Linked DNA regions of Neodiprion lecontei. The main gene of each other region encodes a partner of the protein of the gene in region 2 in a complex. Links are inferred from orthologs where the notes say so. Each region holds a gene or a part of one and is shown on either strand. Other genes may lie near its edges.

What was found. Proteins that work in one complex are often made in the same cells at the same time.
Region 1: transmembrane protein 17B (region 2) and B9 domain-containing protein 1-like share a complex: the UniProt entries of both Homo sapiens proteins name them as parts of the tectonic-like complex. The link is inferred for Neodiprion lecontei from reciprocal best matches to the Homo sapiens genes TMEM17 and B9D1.

Annotation. Positions count from the first base shown.
Region 1 is NC_060261.1:40,676,752-40,686,615, forward strand, and holds B9 domain-containing protein 1-like, read right to left. Parts: upstream 5,173-9,864; 5' UTR 5,167-5,172; coding exon 5,041-5,166; exon of another isoform or gene 3,729-5,040; coding exon 3,617-3,728; coding exon of another isoform or gene 3,613-3,616; exon of another isoform or gene 3,309-3,612; coding exon 3,200-3,308; exon of another isoform or gene 2,709-3,199; coding exon 2,590-2,708; exon of another isoform or gene 2,285-2,589; coding exon of another isoform or gene 2,268-2,284; coding exon 2,164-2,267; 3' UTR 1,754-2,163; downstream 1-1,753. Other genes in the region: aconitate hydratase, mitochondrial, read right to left, coding at 6,479-6,619, 6,756-7,104, 7,197-7,759, 7,953-8,155, 8,543-8,888, 8,948-9,357, 9,510-9,676, 9,792-9,864. UniProt on the Homo sapiens protein: Component of the tectonic-like complex, a complex localized at the transition zone of primary cilia and acting as a barrier that prevents diffusion of transmembrane proteins between the cilia and plasma membranes.
Region 2 is NC_060263.1:2,797,959-2,805,242, forward strand, and holds transmembrane protein 17B, read right to left. Parts: upstream 3,994-7,284; 5' UTR 3,768-3,993; coding exon 3,680-3,767; intron 3,591-3,679; coding exon 3,487-3,590; intron 3,311-3,486; coding exon 3,197-3,310; intron 3,134-3,196; exon of another isoform or gene 3,115-3,133; coding exon 2,872-3,114; 3' UTR 2,806-2,871; downstream 1-2,805. Other genes in the region: uncharacterized protein LOC107222077, read left to right, coding at 4,256-4,326, 4,507-4,919, 5,376-5,587, 5,794-5,846, 5,937-6,156, 6,272-6,480, 6,602-6,677. UniProt on the Homo sapiens protein: Transmembrane component of the tectonic-like complex, a complex localized at the transition zone of primary cilia and acting as a barrier that prevents diffusion of transmembrane proteins between the cilia and plasma membranes.

The sequences.
Region 1 (9,864 bases), on a different chromosome or scaffold from region 2:
AGTAAGAAAATCCCAAGTCAGGACGATGTTCGTTTCGCGTTGCCTTCGGCAAAATTCTTGTGTACTTCTCGTTATGAGAATACCGTAGTTGTTCGCCGTTTTTTCTAAGGACCTTTCGCTGATGAAACAACGGCTAATATCCCAAAGAATCCCCGACACGCGAACGCGTATTTAAATCGTATCAACGTGCGCGTTCTACTCGATCGTCTGATCCTTGCAGATCCTGCGGCGGTCCGGCAAGATCATCACGCCTACGTTTATTCACGGCTTCTGCAAGGCGGTGCTTGCATCGACGCTGCATTATGCGGTGTTCTTTATTGTCCTCGGCATTTATTACGCAGCCTTTATTGCAACTTATTACGCCCGTCTTCTTTATATGCACAAGCCGGTGATAAGCAGAGTTTTACCGCCCTCTTCGGAAAGGTTGCACAGCTTCTATAATACTTCGTTTCGACAACGTTTACTGCCGAATATTCTGCGGACAAGGCGACGACTGAAAGCGACGTAACTTGCCCGATTTCAGCCTCATAAACAACCGGTGATGTACTTTATTTTATTGAATCATATTGGAGAAATGGTCTAAATTTAAATCACAACTGATCGCGGTTTTCGAAGTTATGTGTTTTGCGGTAAGGGGAGGAACTCGTATTTTCAATGTGCGTCATTTGGAAAGAAATCGATAAAAGCGATAATTCCCGACCTAGAATTTGCCATTCAGGTATCCACCCTTTTTCTTTTCCCACAGACCGATACTCTGAGCTTTTCCTTTCGTGTTTATTTTACAATTAGCCTTTTGCTCGTTCAGTTTGACTCTGCGTAGATCGATTCGCGACGGCAAATACTTGTGCAAAGCCAGTGTAATATAGGTATAACGACTGGGAATTTGGTCGACGAGTGAAACGACGTACTTTCTCTCCTAGGAAAGCACCGCGTATCGGTGGGACAAACGACGGACGCTTTAATCTATGTGCTTGAAAGAGGATGATCGTGATCAAGCCCCCGAAGCCCCGGTATTTTCATCGCTTAAACGATCCTCCACTACACGCGAAACGACGCCGATCAATGAAAGCGTACTCGATGCGACTTGCCGCGTCCAGCTGGACTCCGATACCTCATTTTACCCTCAAACCACGAAAACCGTGATCGAACAGGATCGCTCGATTAATTCAGCCTCAATTAGCCGCCCCCGCTTTATGCTCTCGAACGTATGCGAACCACCAGCACGGCGACGAGGGAATGATTAAAGATTGAATTCGAAACTTTCGTTCTCGACCTTTTTCTCGTTATACCGTCCCCGAGAATTCAACACGCGCCAAAATTACCAATTGAAAACGAATTGGGTTGCACAGTTGGACGAATAAGGTTCTGATAATATTTCAATCAATGGACTAACATCTGAATAAATTTCTCTCATTTCTCTGTTCCAGGTCCCTCAGAATTCAGGCATTATATGTAAATACCTCAGAAGAAAAGTTCACCGAGAGCGCTTTCGTTGAGAATTAGTCTACAATTATTTACTTAAGAAAGACGCTCGGCAAATATTAGTCGTTATACCGTATACGATCAGGGTGGTAAAATAATCCGGTCCTAATTGTTTTCCAATAATATAACCGGCAATATTAATATCTACGAAAAGTGCGATAAAACTGTGGAGAAAAAGGAAAAAAAAAATACCGTGTTGCAAAAATAGAAAAGTATAGTGATTCTTACGGGCAAAGTGCAACTGTTTTAAAACAAATTTTTGAAACATGTGTTTAATAAATATTGTAATGCGAGGAGTGTCAAATGCGTTCGCCATCAGGAACTTGCTGAATGAACGCCGTAACAGTATTTTTATGATAATAAAGCACGGTACAGAGAAATACGCTTAAGTGGATATATTAATTGACAATACGTTACGTTTGAATACCGGCAGATTCCATTAGTATAAATTCCATAATATAATGCCTAATTTACCTGCGAATAGGCCGCGTATGATGTACGTATACCTCGACGTATACAGATGTGCTGGAGATATCATAAATACGGTTCATCTAATTACAGGTTATTTATTTGTAATATAAACATACAATACATGCGCACGTGCATACGTGTACATATAGGGTTTTGGCAATAAACATACAAAGCATAATATTTATTCAAGGGTTTCGATAAAGTATAGTGTTACCTATCCGCCTGCTGGCCGTTGCTGTAACCCAGTTTAAAAAAATCCTTCATCGATACGTTAAAACGCACTGTAATAGTTCCTTGGGAAATCATCCTCGTCACTGAAAAAATAATATCCCTAAATTTTTCAAATTTAAAACTGCGCTGAATTGGAAATATTAATATTACAGTAGGTGCATTTTAAATTTGCCAAAGACGAGCTCTAGCATTATTGTACCAAGCTCTGTTCACGTCGAATATTGTTCGTGAAGTCTGGTGAAGAATAAAATGTACATTGACGACCGCGAGTTTCCTCACGAAATAAAAGTATCGCTCAGCTTTATGCGTTATATCGCGGTAAGAAACCGAGGCAAGCGATGTGCGAAAATAAATGTGTCGTGTGTCGTGTAAGCTGTGGATGTTGGGTATTCGAATGGTTCTTACGCTCTCGCCCTCCGCCAGTTGCGAGTATCGTTGGATCTATTAGTTCCGGTCTCCTTCCGGAGAACCAGGCAATAAATTGTTGCAATATCGAAGAAGATTGCGGAACATACACAGCCACCCTGAAAACGAAACGTTTGCGCTAATGAAACTGATTACATACCTTGCCAAAAGTGGCTGTAAATTCTAATGTTCACTTATTTATTTGTTTGTTTATTTATTTTTTTTTATCGATTGCGCAGAAAATTAAGCGGTCACTTTTAAATATTATCTACAATTTTTTCCACCAAATTGAAGCGTATCGTTTATTTATGCATGTTAAAGAAAAATTGAAGCTTAAGGGAAACGAGAAGAGATCTGATATTCGAGGGCAAAGTGGGTAAGTGGAAAAAAATGGGGTCACGTCATTCTTGAACTGCCTCTGCAAGTCGCACGGCTGACGTGCCTTATCAAAAGGACGTTTCTCGCTTCGCAGAAATTGAAAAGTAAACGTCCGAATTAATTGCTGTGTAAATTTTTATTCCACGGTTCGATCGCGACAGTTGAACGACTATGATGCAATTCCACTCAAATATAAGCGGGCGTCTGAAAAATGTGGATAAAATTGAAGTACTTTTTTGTGTGCGTGCCAGTCGCGAGTGGCAAGTGACAAACTCCGTAGCCTCTAACCACATCATGACCAAAACAGTCCAAACCGTAAACTGACAGAATCAACTGAGGCCCTAAAACAGATGGAAAATGGTATTTAGTAAGTGCAATCGATGTATTTTGCTATTCGAAAATGTAAAAAAAAAAAAAAAAATTCAATGTCGAGAACGTCTGATATCTTATCGTGATACGGGTAATCACGCTAATTGCTGCGATAAGAATATTGTTACGTCTAGTATTTAATCTTTTAAATTCTACGTATACTAATTGTAGTCAAAACATTTTGAAACTTGGCAAACATTGTAAAGGGTGGTTGTTCGGTTGTATTTTTTTTTTTAATTTCTATTTTGTAATTTTATATGAGTTTTACAGCTATACCTACATCCCTGGGGATTGATACTCTTGAACGCAATATCGAGAGGAAAGTTCCAAACAGCAACCTGGCGAGCGTCGGTGCTTTTTTTACTCATTTGCGTAAGCCCCTCTTCGATTCCCTGTGGAGTTGAAAAATTTTGGTTTACAATTCTACATGCGACATACTGTATATTATTCAAATCGGCGGAATTGTTATTGAGAGGAGATCGTAGAAATGAAAATTATCGGTGCGATACACCCCTGTTTTACATGTACTGTAGAGGAAACTTTGAGGATGATACCCTACGAAAGCTTTTTGTCACGTTTTTCTTCCCAGCGTTTCAATTGTAGTCACGAATTCTCACAACCAGCTACCTCATGATCCAATCTCGAGAGCGATAAGAGCACGTGCGTTCAATCCCCGGTTGTGAATATTTTCCCATTCAATTTATGCCGCGGTATAACCGCGGGTGAATACTTTGGTTACTCATAGAGACGAAATTCTTTCAACGAAATTTAATAACCTTAAGTGATATCTATACTTCGATGTGGTTATGAGCTGTATGGGTAATTCTTTCGAGAGCGGAAGAAAACAAGAGGAATATAACAATAAAAGAAAAGTATACCAAACTCCTTTCCTTCCATCAAGATTATTTGAAACTATCAAGATTAAGTGGGTGAATAAATTTCTGCAAAAATCGACCAAGCCGTCCGTATTATGTATGTTATAACATGTAGCGTTATTAAAAGCTTGGAAAGCGGTTATTTGAATGACATGACTAAAGGCAAGCAGGATCTTGTGCTGTACGCGAAGCCTAACATTTGAATATAAAATAAATTTATCATCTAGCCCGTAATTAATTGGGCACTTAAATTTTATGGCTATAACACCCAGGAATAATCAAGAATCATTTCGCGGTACGTTCATCGACATGTACATCGATTATTGATGGAAAAAAAATTCTCCCCACAGAAGTTTATGATTAGCGCAAATCGGAAATCAGATCAGTAACTTTTACGTTATCAGTTTTTATCAACTTACTTTATACTCTTAAAATATCTAACAGAATGTTACCGACTGATGTGAACACGCGAATCACTTCTTGTTACACGGCAGCTGCAGGTAAAATGCAAATCAAGTATTTGAGGAATGTATAAATTATCTCCATCGTTGAATAACTCGCGTGATAATAAATAAATGATTTTGCCGTCGTCGCTGGATTGAGCGCGTAGAAATTTGCAAATTAATAACTGAGCAACGGTAGATAATAATTGAAACTTTTGCCAAGTATTGGTACAATTACGATAGTGGATAAAACAAAAACCATTTTTACAATTTTTCCGTGAGAAATGGAATTGTTAGTACTGAGAAAATTAACCAAGCGGTCGGAATATTGAAATAAAAAAAAAACACAGATAAGAAAGTAAACCAATAATGTGTGATGTGTATACCCTGACGATGCTCCAGTCCGGTCCAAAGTGGTATCCATATTTGCAATACACGTTATCAATGTCATAGAAGTTTGCGTACTCGATCGATCCTGTCACTGATAAGAAAAATTCACCCTCGACTGACATGGATATAAATTACTTCTCCGTCAGATCAGATGATATTTTCTCTATCGACTACCAAAGGTTTGCTTTTACGCGTTCGCTTTACTATTTGTTGTGAATTTCGTCATTCTGCGTTGTCATGACGATATCCGCGCGTTTCGACGATTAACGGGTAAAACGCCTGATGAAGTTTGGACAAGCAACTTGCGATACATTTGTGGTTTCAAAGATAATTGTGCTAGGCGCTTATATTCTACACCAAATGACAATTCAAGCTTTTCATTACGAATTATCAAAATTTTGTTAGGTACTCAGTGACAATAGCTCTTCACTTTTCCCGGTGAACTGATTTATTTCATAAATTTAACGATCGAATTAAAAGTAATGTAAGAACCCAGTGAAACTTTTATTAAAATGATTATTTTTGGATATAAACTTGCAGTACTCTACTAAAATATACGATCGGTATTGAAGTAGCCACAAAATTGTTCAATGAAAAATTTCGACTTCAAACTACTAACGCATACTAGGTAAAACTTTATTAACACGGCAAAAACTGTTAAAAATGACAGCTTTTGCTTTTTAATCGATCGATACAGAGAATAATATATACAATAAGTATTACTGTGTAAATGATATCCTAAGTAACAGTTATTAATGTACTAATGGGCATTATTATTCAGATTAAATCACCGACTTGCTTAATATACAATTTTTTTTTTTTATACAGAACTGACCCAAGGAGCACTGGTCTTTACGATTCATCTTTTATTCAGTTGGCAAAATCAGACTTGAATGATTGGCAATGGATTATAAAGACGCAGAATAGCATCGTTGAAGTGAGACTAAAAAGTAGCTACCGATTTTAGATTTGAGTCTAGTCTTGATTCGAGTTTGAATATACACATCCATAATCAATAATACGTACAATAATTTTGTCAATTGAAGGGAAGTTTCATTACTTATTGTACATCGTACATGCATAAAAAAAAGTATGCAACTTTAGCCCGATTATAAAATTTCTCTAATATCGCATGATTCTTAGTGATAATTAGCTCCCTTAAATTTCAGTTCTCGTAATGAATACTACCTTATATTTGCATTGTTCTATTTCCTAAATATCTACCGTCTGTACGCGTAACTGCCGCTTCAAAAATCAAATTTCTATCGGAACTAAAATTCCCTGTCTACGAACGATTTCGTAAATTTTCCCTATTTGCTTTCGAAAATTCAATACATGTGACATACTAGCTTACTGCTAGTTGACATTTTTGGCATTGTTCGACTTCTCAATTCGACATCTTCATCCTTCGTTTCTTCAGTTTCGTTTAACCCTCTACTTTCCTAGGGCTACTTCCTTCATACGGTTCAACGCTGAGCCTGCTTTGAACCAACCAATCTGCTGCTCATTGAACGTGTGATTCAAAGTGATGGTGTCAACCTTTCCGTCTTTGTGTTTGATTTCTGCCTTGATAGGCTAAAACAAATCAAAAAACAAGACAAATAATCACAAGCACTGAATCAGATGTGTTAATTACTGATCTCATCTGGGAAATAGAATCAAATCTGAAATATAATTTTTGCGTTTAGGTCAAACAACTTTATCAACGAACCTTTCCAGGAGCTAAATCCTTGAGACCAAGGAGGTTGATCTTGTCAGTTGGTTGGATTTTGTCGTAATCACTTGGGTCAGCGAAAGTCAATGGAAGCATACCCTGCTTTTTCAAATTGGTTTCGTGGATCCTAGCAAAACTCTTCACAATTATGGCACGTCCTCCAAGATGTCTGGGCTCAAGAGCAGCGTGTTCCCGAGACGAACCTTCGCCGTAGTTTTCATCGCCGATAGTTACCCATCTGACGCCATTCTTTTTATAATGTCGAGCAACATCGGGAACAGCTCCCCACTCTCCCGTAAGCTGGTTCTTGATTTTGTTGACTTCGCCGTTTTCCGCATTGACCGCACTGAAAAACAAGGAAAATTGGAAACCTCCAAACAAGTAGATAGAAGTATTTCTAAAAGTTGATAAGAAGAATACGTAATAGCGGCCACATACCCGATGAACATGTTGTTAGAAATGTTGTCCAAGTGACCACGGTACTTTAGCCACGGTCCAGCGGCGGATATGTGATCGGTCGTACATTTTCCCTTCGCTTTGATAAGGACGACTAGATCGGTAAGATCTTTGCCGTCCCATTTGTCGAACGGGTCCAGAAGCTGAAGCCTTTGAGATTTGGGATCGACGTCAACTTTGACTGAGCTACCGTCAGCGGGAGGATGGTCGTACGTTTCTTGGCCAGGGTCGAAGCCACGGCTGGGCAGTTCGTCAGCGAATGGATCGTCCAGCAAGAACTCTTTGCCGTCAGCGCCCTTCAGTTTGTCCGTAACCGGGTTGAAATCTAATCGTCCAGCGATTGACAACGCTGTTACCAGCTCTGGACTTGTTACGAAAGCGTGAGTTGCCGGGTTTGCGTCGTTACGACCAGTGAAGTTGCGGTTGTACGATGTTACGATAGTGTTTTTGTCGCCCTTTTTGATGTCTTGACGATCCCATTGCCCAATGCAAGGACCACACGCGTTAGCGAGAACGACGCCTCCGAATTGACGAAGCGTTTCGGCCTGTTTAATAGGGTTACAGAGTTAGTTCGAGATTAAATAAATGTGAAGTAGCATTTTGTTTTCATTGCAAGTGCAACGAGAATTGGTTGTTACTGTGACAATTTCCAACCAAAATGGCTTTCCCAAAGAAAGTCAGTTACTCTCTGTTATTATTATTAGCGACGAAACATATGTATTAGGAATATGATATTACAATTCCGTCGCGTTCGATGGTGGCACGAATTTGCTCAGAGCCAGGAGTTACGTTGAAGGTGGACTTGGACTTAATTCCGTGCTTCATGGCCTGCTTGGCAATGCTTGCACATCGGCCCATGTCTTCGTAAGAACTGTTTGTGCACGATCCAATGAGACCGACTTTTATCTCATTTGGCCATCCATTTTTCTTTGCAGTTTCACCTGAAATTTAAAAACCACATAAGCATGCGAAAGCGCCTAAGTAACGAACACATACGGGCATCTGGAGTAACCCAATCTATACCAATCACAGCACAAAATGTTTGAGATTGATTGAATATCGCTTTGTAACAACTTAATCAAACTATGTAGATTCGAATAACTGCATGATCATTAAGATATTGGGGGAAGGGGAGATTATATAATACTACAATGAACAGTAAGCTCTGTTGAACAGGACACAAATTAAAGCAATCAGGTTAATCTTATCGTTTGAATACAAGGTTTCTTTTTCATGATGCCATCAAAAGTATATAGTCGTGAAATAAGAAAAGAACGATAAAATCATGAGTCTCCCGTGTCAATCTTTACTTAAATAATTGAACTCACCCAATTTGGAAATAGGGTGAGCAAGGTCGGGTGTAAACGGTCCGTTGACATGTGGCTCCAGCGTTGAAAGATCCAATTCGATGACCTGATCGTATTTAGCGTTGGAATCAGCAGTGAGGAGACTCTCCTTGTACTGATCAGCCGCAACGGAAATTTCCCCACGTCCAGTCGCCTTCAGATAATCCTGCATGCGTCCATTGTACGGAAAAACTGAAGTCGTAGCACCAATTTCCGCACCCATGTTACAAATCGTGGCCATACCAGTACAGCTAATGCTGTCCACACCAGGGCCAAAGTATTCTACAATCGCTCCAGTGCCTCCTTTCACCGTCAGGATACCTGCAACCTGTAGAAAATTGTTGTCTTATTATTTTTGCACCGCATTTCATGCACAGCATGTCTCACCTTCAGAATGATGTCCTTCGGACTCGTCCAACCTTTGAGCTGGCCAGTCAACTTGACACCAATAACTTTGGGGCACTTCAATTCCCACGGAATATTGGCCATCACGTCAACAGCGTCAGCTCCACCAACACCAATACACAAGCCTCCCAAGCCTCCTCCGTTCGGTGTGTGAGAGTCTGTACCAATCATCAGCAGCCCAGGAAATGCGTAGTTTTCCAAAATAATTTGGTGGATGATACCAGATCCAGGGTTCCAGAATCCAACGCCGTACTTGGCACCAGCTGTCTTCAGGAAATTGTATACCTCCTTATTTACGTCCTTGGCTCGGGCCAAATCTTCAGTTCCACCAATTTGAGCTTCGATCAAGTGATCGCAGTGGATGGTCGAGGGCACAGCGACTTTGGGGAGACCTAAAGGAGAGACAAAAACAGGTAAGCTAATAGAAATTGAATCTATTCAGATACGAAACTATTCTTAGTGTTTAGAATCTTTAGTGAGAATCTTTAGTGAGAAGACTCTTTTATAGATCACTTTTGTCTGAAGAAAAAACAAAATTACTAACCGGAGCTAATGAACTGCAGCATCGCCATCTGTGCTGTAGCATCCTGCATAGCAACACGGTCTGGTCGTAATCTGAGGTAACTCGTTCCACGGACAACATCTTGCGTCTGCGGTTCATCCAGGTGAGAGTACAAAACCTTTTCAGATAATGTCAGTGGTCGGTTGAGTCTGAAAGTAGAATTTCGATTATGATTTCGATCAATTGCTTCATTTTTAAAACTAACTTTGCAAACGTTGGCATGAAGTGAAAAACTAGTCTGGAATCAAATGAAGTAGCTCTCACCGTTTCTTCACGATTTTGATGTTCTCTTCGAGTTTGTCGTAGGGAAGGTAGGTAGTTTGGTCGAATTTGGACA
Region 2 (7,284 bases):
CACTTGTCCCACCGTTTCCACTCGTTCGTCCGTTTTTAGTAATGTTTACAAGTATTTTTCACCTGTTTTGCAGTATTTTAACGAGAATATACGTTATTTAGTACTATATTTCTACTATCAAAATCTGTTTGAAAAATTGAAATCAGACTTAAAAAATAGTGGTGTCATTAATTTGTGAAAGAAACATTGATTTTTCCGGATTTTCCCCGTTAATAATAATCCGATCAAGTCGTTTCAGCGCTTATTTTCTTCGTCTTTTGATTCTCGATAATTCGTCTAAGCAAAGCATCAAGATTGCTTTGTTAGTTTTGAAGTTACAAGCGAAAATCGAAAAAACCGATTTTTTGCTTTTAAATATTTATAAAAAATTGATAAATGATAGTTGTGAATGGAAAACATAACAGAACTAAGTACTGTGTTTTGTGTGATAGCACAGTCGGTATCCTAATAGTATTTGTGTCACAGAATCACTCATTTTCTGCTCTATTGATTGGTCTAATCATTAAGCTTCGCTTGATTTTAAATTTATATCTGCCATGTAGCATAATTGCGCAAAACCGTAATCTACGTGTAGTATACGTATAAATTGATAAGCGAGAGGAAATACGAACCTTGATAAAGCGGAACGATTTTCATCTAATTTGCGAACGCGGGAATATCGAATATTTGAAAGCCTGTGAATTGCTAAGCACACCAAACATGTGACACGGGTCATTTTGCAACGGTGAATTAAAACTCAAATCCACGGTAACTTATTGGCCGAGATGAAAAAACTTTACGGAAAGTTGATATCTTTCGAATTTTTTCAATTCTAAGTCAATCAATCGCGGAGGTAATCTTGAATTTAAGGCGGAACTTTAAATATAAAAACGGCAATACCGATTTATTTTCAACGTTTTACCGTAATAAGCTCTAATAATAATTATAATAATAGTGATCGTATTGGGCTGTTTGTATACAATATTTAAACAGCTGCCGCAGATGAATATGTGGCAATAATGCTTCGCACGATGCGCGGCTGTATATCTTGCATGCATTGCGGAGACGCGCGAATGGATGATGTAAGCCGGTCGCCGCATACGATTAAGGCATTTGGTGGACGGCTACAACAGAATCTTTTGTAATGTTGAAAATATATAATATATGTTTATAAATTTCTATTCATATAGGACGAGGTAACACAAAAACATGGCTTCATCGACCTCCGGAACTCAACAACGCACCACTGACGCCACAGCCGACGATAATTTCGTTAAATTCCCTCCCGTTATCGACGGGAAAATAAACACCGCGGAGTTCTTAGCTGCTGCGCAGGGCGTTGTGCGAATCGTCGGTAAGTTAAGTATCACACACACACGCGTCTCGTCTCGCACAGACATCACGCCGCGAACATAACCTAGATTCAAACACCGAGGCGGCATTGGTGCGAATGCACGTGACATTACGATTAGCTATGCAGCGGGTGAGTACCTACTCACCGCGGTTATACTGAGAACCCTTTTTTACTCATTTCAGATAAATTTGGAAAGCTCTTTGCACCGGTCAAATATGACATGCAGGGAAATATTGACGTGAGTTGAACCCTTACTCGATTTTCGCAGTTAAAGCGTTGAATATATTTTACTTACATCTAATTATCACTGAATTCAATGGAAATCTTTGTAGAAATTGAACACAAAGTATGTGGCTGACAAAGAGAAACACTCGACGTTGCATGACATGATCTTGTTGGAAAAAATTTCAGGGAAAACTATAATCGCCACAGATGCTCTCCTCTGGCTGCGAAGGTAGCAAATTAATTAATTCTACAGAATTTCAGGTATCAAATAATACATGCAGGCTTCTTCTCTAAAGTTTGTATCCTTACTACATCACAGAGGCCTCCACATGATCCAGGTGTTCTTTGAAAAGATTATTGAGGATCACAAAACTGGAAAAGCTAGCGATGATCTGGTTGCACTTCTGAAAAAAGCTTACAAAGAAGCCCTGGAACCATATCACGGATGGATGGCACAGCAGCTGTTTGGAGTATGTATGAGCATTAATTTTGGTGGTATTAATTAACTTTCTGTTGCACCATTAATAACTGGCAATTTGTTTTGTAGCTGTTATCAAGGACGGTACCGACACGATCCCAACTACTGCACGCCCTTGCTAATGAGCAAAGGAATAAAGATGACTTGATAATACAAGAGCTAGACGTGTTTTTGGTCATTTTGAAAGAAAATTTGCAAAATCTGCTCACCTTTTACATCGAGCACAACCTAGAAAATGGTGCAAAAGTATAACCAACAGTTACTTCAGTAAATTTCATGGCGAGCTTGAAAAATACTTTAATTTTTTCTTTGTGAACGCCAAGCTTGATTTAACTATGTTTGGTAGATAACATATTATTATCAAGATATTTGAAAATACTTTTCAAGATTTATCTATTTCGGAACTTAATCACGAGTCTTGAATATAGGCTCAGAAGCAAACTGATGATATGTGGTCTTAAAACTTGATCTACAAGTTTTTCCATGTGCAGTTTTTACATTTTAGTACAAACATATTTTTACAACGAATATTTAAAATGTGTTCAACAACAGTTGGATTCACTGCAAACGTGACCAATAGGTGACTGGCTGCTGCTCCGCAGATTAAATCGTGTATTTACACAATTCTGATAGGTGCCAAATGAAACTAGGTAATGAGTGATTGTGGGTCATAAATTTATTACTTTATACCTATGTACAGATGAAAGATATGTATGTATGTTTATGTTTTATACGAGGTTAATGATTGTATAATTGAGTTATGAAATAATTAAGTGATGAATAGTTTAATATTTCATATATACAAGCATTACAGTTCAAAGATATTTCATCGGTCTTACTCTAGTTTTTCATTAATTTCGTACAGTTGTGCGAGGTAAAATCTTTTTGCATGATGATTGGCCGAATTTCTTAATGCAATTGTTCCAGTAATTATTTCAGTGAGGAGGAAAACTAACATAACGCTGTTTACTACATGTTCTCCTCTACCTGGCAGCATCCTACCATCAACAAGAGTAAACATTTGTAGAGGAAATTGTATCAGTGTTGAAATCAGCCAAAAGCAAGCCAACTCGGGAATCTGAAATCACGCAAATATGGTAATTTTCTCCATAACATTTCATTGAAGTTTTTTCAAGTTCACGCAAATACAACGCCTAAACCTTCTCTGCCAAATTTCCAAGGTATCCTAGGTACAGTCGTATGCATTCCGAAACGGCAACAATTACGAAAACGCCAACAGTTATAAATTTGTAAATGTCCGATAGTTTATGGTACTGAAAAAAAATCACAACTTTAGTTAAGCTTAAAGTATTAGATTAAAATATCAATACGTACATTCTTGATAACGAGTCAACTATGGGTAATCAATATTTAACCGGTGATGGGTTTACCGGGCTTTAACGGGGTTAAAATATCAGCAATATTGCTGCTATTCGTTAAGAGTAGTTACTTTTTGATCGAGAAGATTCAAACTGATGAAAAACCAAAACGGAAATAGCCAAGTATTGAAATACAGTGCCATTTGTAGCGGTAAACTGGACTTAATCACGTTTCCTGTAAAATGGCAAAAGTAACGTAGAATACGAACATCAACGCGACGCTGACCATTCCGACATCGTCGAATAGATCGCAAGGTTTATTACCGATGTCATGAAATTCTTTTATTCGATTGTGATAAGCGAGACCTGGAAATATTCTATCTGATGCACTTATTACTGTATCCTTCCACATTGCATAAAAAAAGTTATTAACCTAAAGTGGTCTACAGGTCGCTGTGACAACAAATATTTCTGCAACCACAAACCAAGGATATTTAGAGAGAGTGAGCCCCCCTGATTTAGTAACACCCTTTGACATGGAATAGGTTTTTTTTAACTAATTGTCGAGGTGCCGCGACGGTAAATGCATAAGTAATGTATGACTGCAACTAATTACTTATTGTTAGAGCATTGTACAGTATTACCTGCCGTATCATAAAATCGCACTGAAGTGGTAACTCTGGTACACGGCAATTCGTTGTGCGTTTCGGAACACGTGCTAAGGTTCGCGTCGTGGTCGCGTCACTTACTCGTAGGCCAATGGCCACCAATAGCTACTGCCGCTACTGCGATACATCAAACAGATCCAAAACGGCGTTCCCCCATAGATCCATCAGGGGTGTAAGTTAGGGTTCATCGTTCGATTGTTTTTGTAGTTACCAGGGTACAGTTTGTCGAAGCATGGCCGATAATGTGCTTAGTTTAGATGACATAATCAAGAAATCCAAAATTTCAGCAATGAAAGGCCGCGGGTGAGTTGAGAATTTATCATTTTCTTATTGAAATCTCAAAATTTTTTCTGTGAGTAAAGCTCGTTACTTAAGCCTTACTTCACCATGAATCTTATAACCTTCAAAAACATCTATCGAGCCACAATCATATCTGATGCTCATTAATTACAGCAAGCTTATGATATCTCACCAATATTACAGGTCGAGAAGAGGCATCAACCGAAGTACTCTACGAACTAACGTATCTTCGAGAGGTCGAGGAGGGCCGGTCATTGCGGATGCTAGATTCAAAATCATCCAAAAGAATCGTGAGAAACTCACTGATGCTCGAGATAAACTAGCTCAAATAGCCAAGCAGTCTGATGCCAGGTTGAAGTTGGACAAATTACGTGCCACTCATTTGAAAACTGTCGATTTACCTCTCAGTGGAATTTCTCGTCAAACGGGCCTCAATGGTCGAATTACATTGACGACCAATAAGCTTCATAATAAAACCATGCACCCGATTCCGGCTACAAATTATTTGGCGCCAGGTTCTAGAGCTATGGAGTACAGGGCACCGCCCATGGTCGAAACTTCATACGCTGATGATATGGAAATGAACTTCAATGATGGTGCTCATTTTCTTTTTATCTATTTTCTACTCTAGGAAGACTTGTATATTATACCCTCAATTCGATTGCACATTGAATATCTCCTTGACATAATCTATAATTTTATTTGTATTCAGATATTTTTTCAATTTCTTGCACTGATATTTGCTTTTAGAATGTCTTTTTTTTCAGACTATTTTCTGATTTTACGTCTCTGAACATTCCGAAACATTTAATTCCCTCTAGCAATATAGTTTGTATATTCTCAAAGATTTTCTATCCAGCATTACATAATGATTTTGGATTTAGATTGTGTTATGACAAAATATGAATTCTTACGACACTTGTGGATGAAATTTAACTAAATATTTCAATATGTATCAGTAACATTGATAATCAATTTCAAATGTGTGTTATGACACATGCATTTTGACTGCCTTTACTCAATACCGATGATTCAATCTCATCCATTCTTAGATTACATGATGGATTCAACACCTCTAAGGCGGACTGTCAACAATGAATATGTGCCTGTGCCACCTCCACCACCACCTTCATTCAACTTATCCCCGACCAATGAATACACTTGGGTGAAACTGCCTGGTAGTAGTCTTGGAAGGATGGGTTCTTCTAGGCCAGTTGAGGTTCAGAGACCACGTGACTTTAAAATTGTGGCTCGTACTTCAATGGTAATTACAAAAGTCTATTGCTTACAAACGTAGACTTTGTAAATTTCCTTCGTTTGGCTGAACAATTTTCTGTGACATTTTCACAAGAAATATAAATCTTTAGATTTCGTAAGCATTTAGCTCATGAGGGAATAAAAATTCAATAAATTTCATAATTTTCTGGAAAAGCAGAGGTTTTAAATATTACAATTGTTGGCTGCTTTCAGGGTAAACCAATGGTTACTTCAAAGAGCGATTGGAGTTTTGGATCAAAAGCAAGGTATGTCGTCACTGCTTCATTGGACTAAAGTTTTAATTCATCTCTTGCTGTTTAACTACTGCTGCATAAATCGTCCTTGTATATTTGCAGAACCATATTGACTGAAGATACTATAAATGACAGATACCTGGACATCAGGGGTCGTAGAGACGTTGGTGTTAAATCGCGACTGGATTCATTACCAAATAAACCTCGAACCATGGGTATTTTATCTCGTCCAAAGTCTAGCTCAAATTCGACGTCAGTAACGACTGGTTATCGAATCGTTGTATCAAATCTCCAGGCCAATGTAACTCAGGAGGATATAAAGGTAAACCTAAAATATTCACGTCTATTTTGTTGGTAATTACGACGTGGAAGCCAAATATTTATTGTACAATGCGCCTGTAGTTATGTACATTAGATGCTAAATTCTTGTTACTAAGGAACTGTTCGAGGACGTCGGAGAATTGTTGGTGTCCAGGTTAGTGCGCCCAGGCACAGCTGAGGTGATTTACAAGACATTAAAAGATGCAACGAAAGCGGTGGAAACTTATCACAATCGGCAACTGGATGGACATCCTATGAAATGTTTATTAGTTAATCCACGACCAAAAAATAATCCAACTGGTCCAGCAGTTAGGCCATTGCCCGAGTAAGCAAAATCATATACTTGAAGTAACTAAATTGTAATGATAATTATTTTTGATATCTTCCTGTTCGGCTCTTAACAATCCCAATCTTTGTTCGCTTGAGGCTGTCATTTTAATTTACAGAACAAGACGGAGTGCGAGTTCAAGTTATGTGCAGCCTAGTCTTGGCGCAGTCCATCGTGCACTATTTGATGACTGAACAATAAACAACATATTTGAAGCATCATGAATTCGATACGAAATATATTTATAATTCATGAATTACGCATACACCAATTCGGTATACAAATGATGTTAAAGCGCATCACTGCTGCGACGCATCGCAATGATTGTGATTGAAAAATTTTATTACTTCATGCCTCGTGATTGTTAGAAGTATGAAATACTAATGAGTATTGAACACTTGAATATAAACTCGAACAAAGGGATAAAAGACTTTGAACGAAGATAGAAGATGAAACTGCTCTTAGTAGTTGGTATAACTTCATACCATCCTTGACTCATGAACCGATCAACATCGATTCATCATTCATTTCACATTTAACGATTACTATGTTGCAAGCTAGGTATACATTACTGTACGTCACGCCTGTAGCGATTGTACAATAAAAATGCATAACATAAGCCGTATACTTTACCGTAATAGCATACTAAATGTATGTATCCCACTACATTGTACTTATTCGTTACTAATATTTTACATTGAAGTCCAAATAGAACAGTGATTATGGATCCAAACCCACAATAGATTGCAAAAAAACAATAATGCGTGACTCGAAATGTGACTTCTTTTACACCCCTCTCTA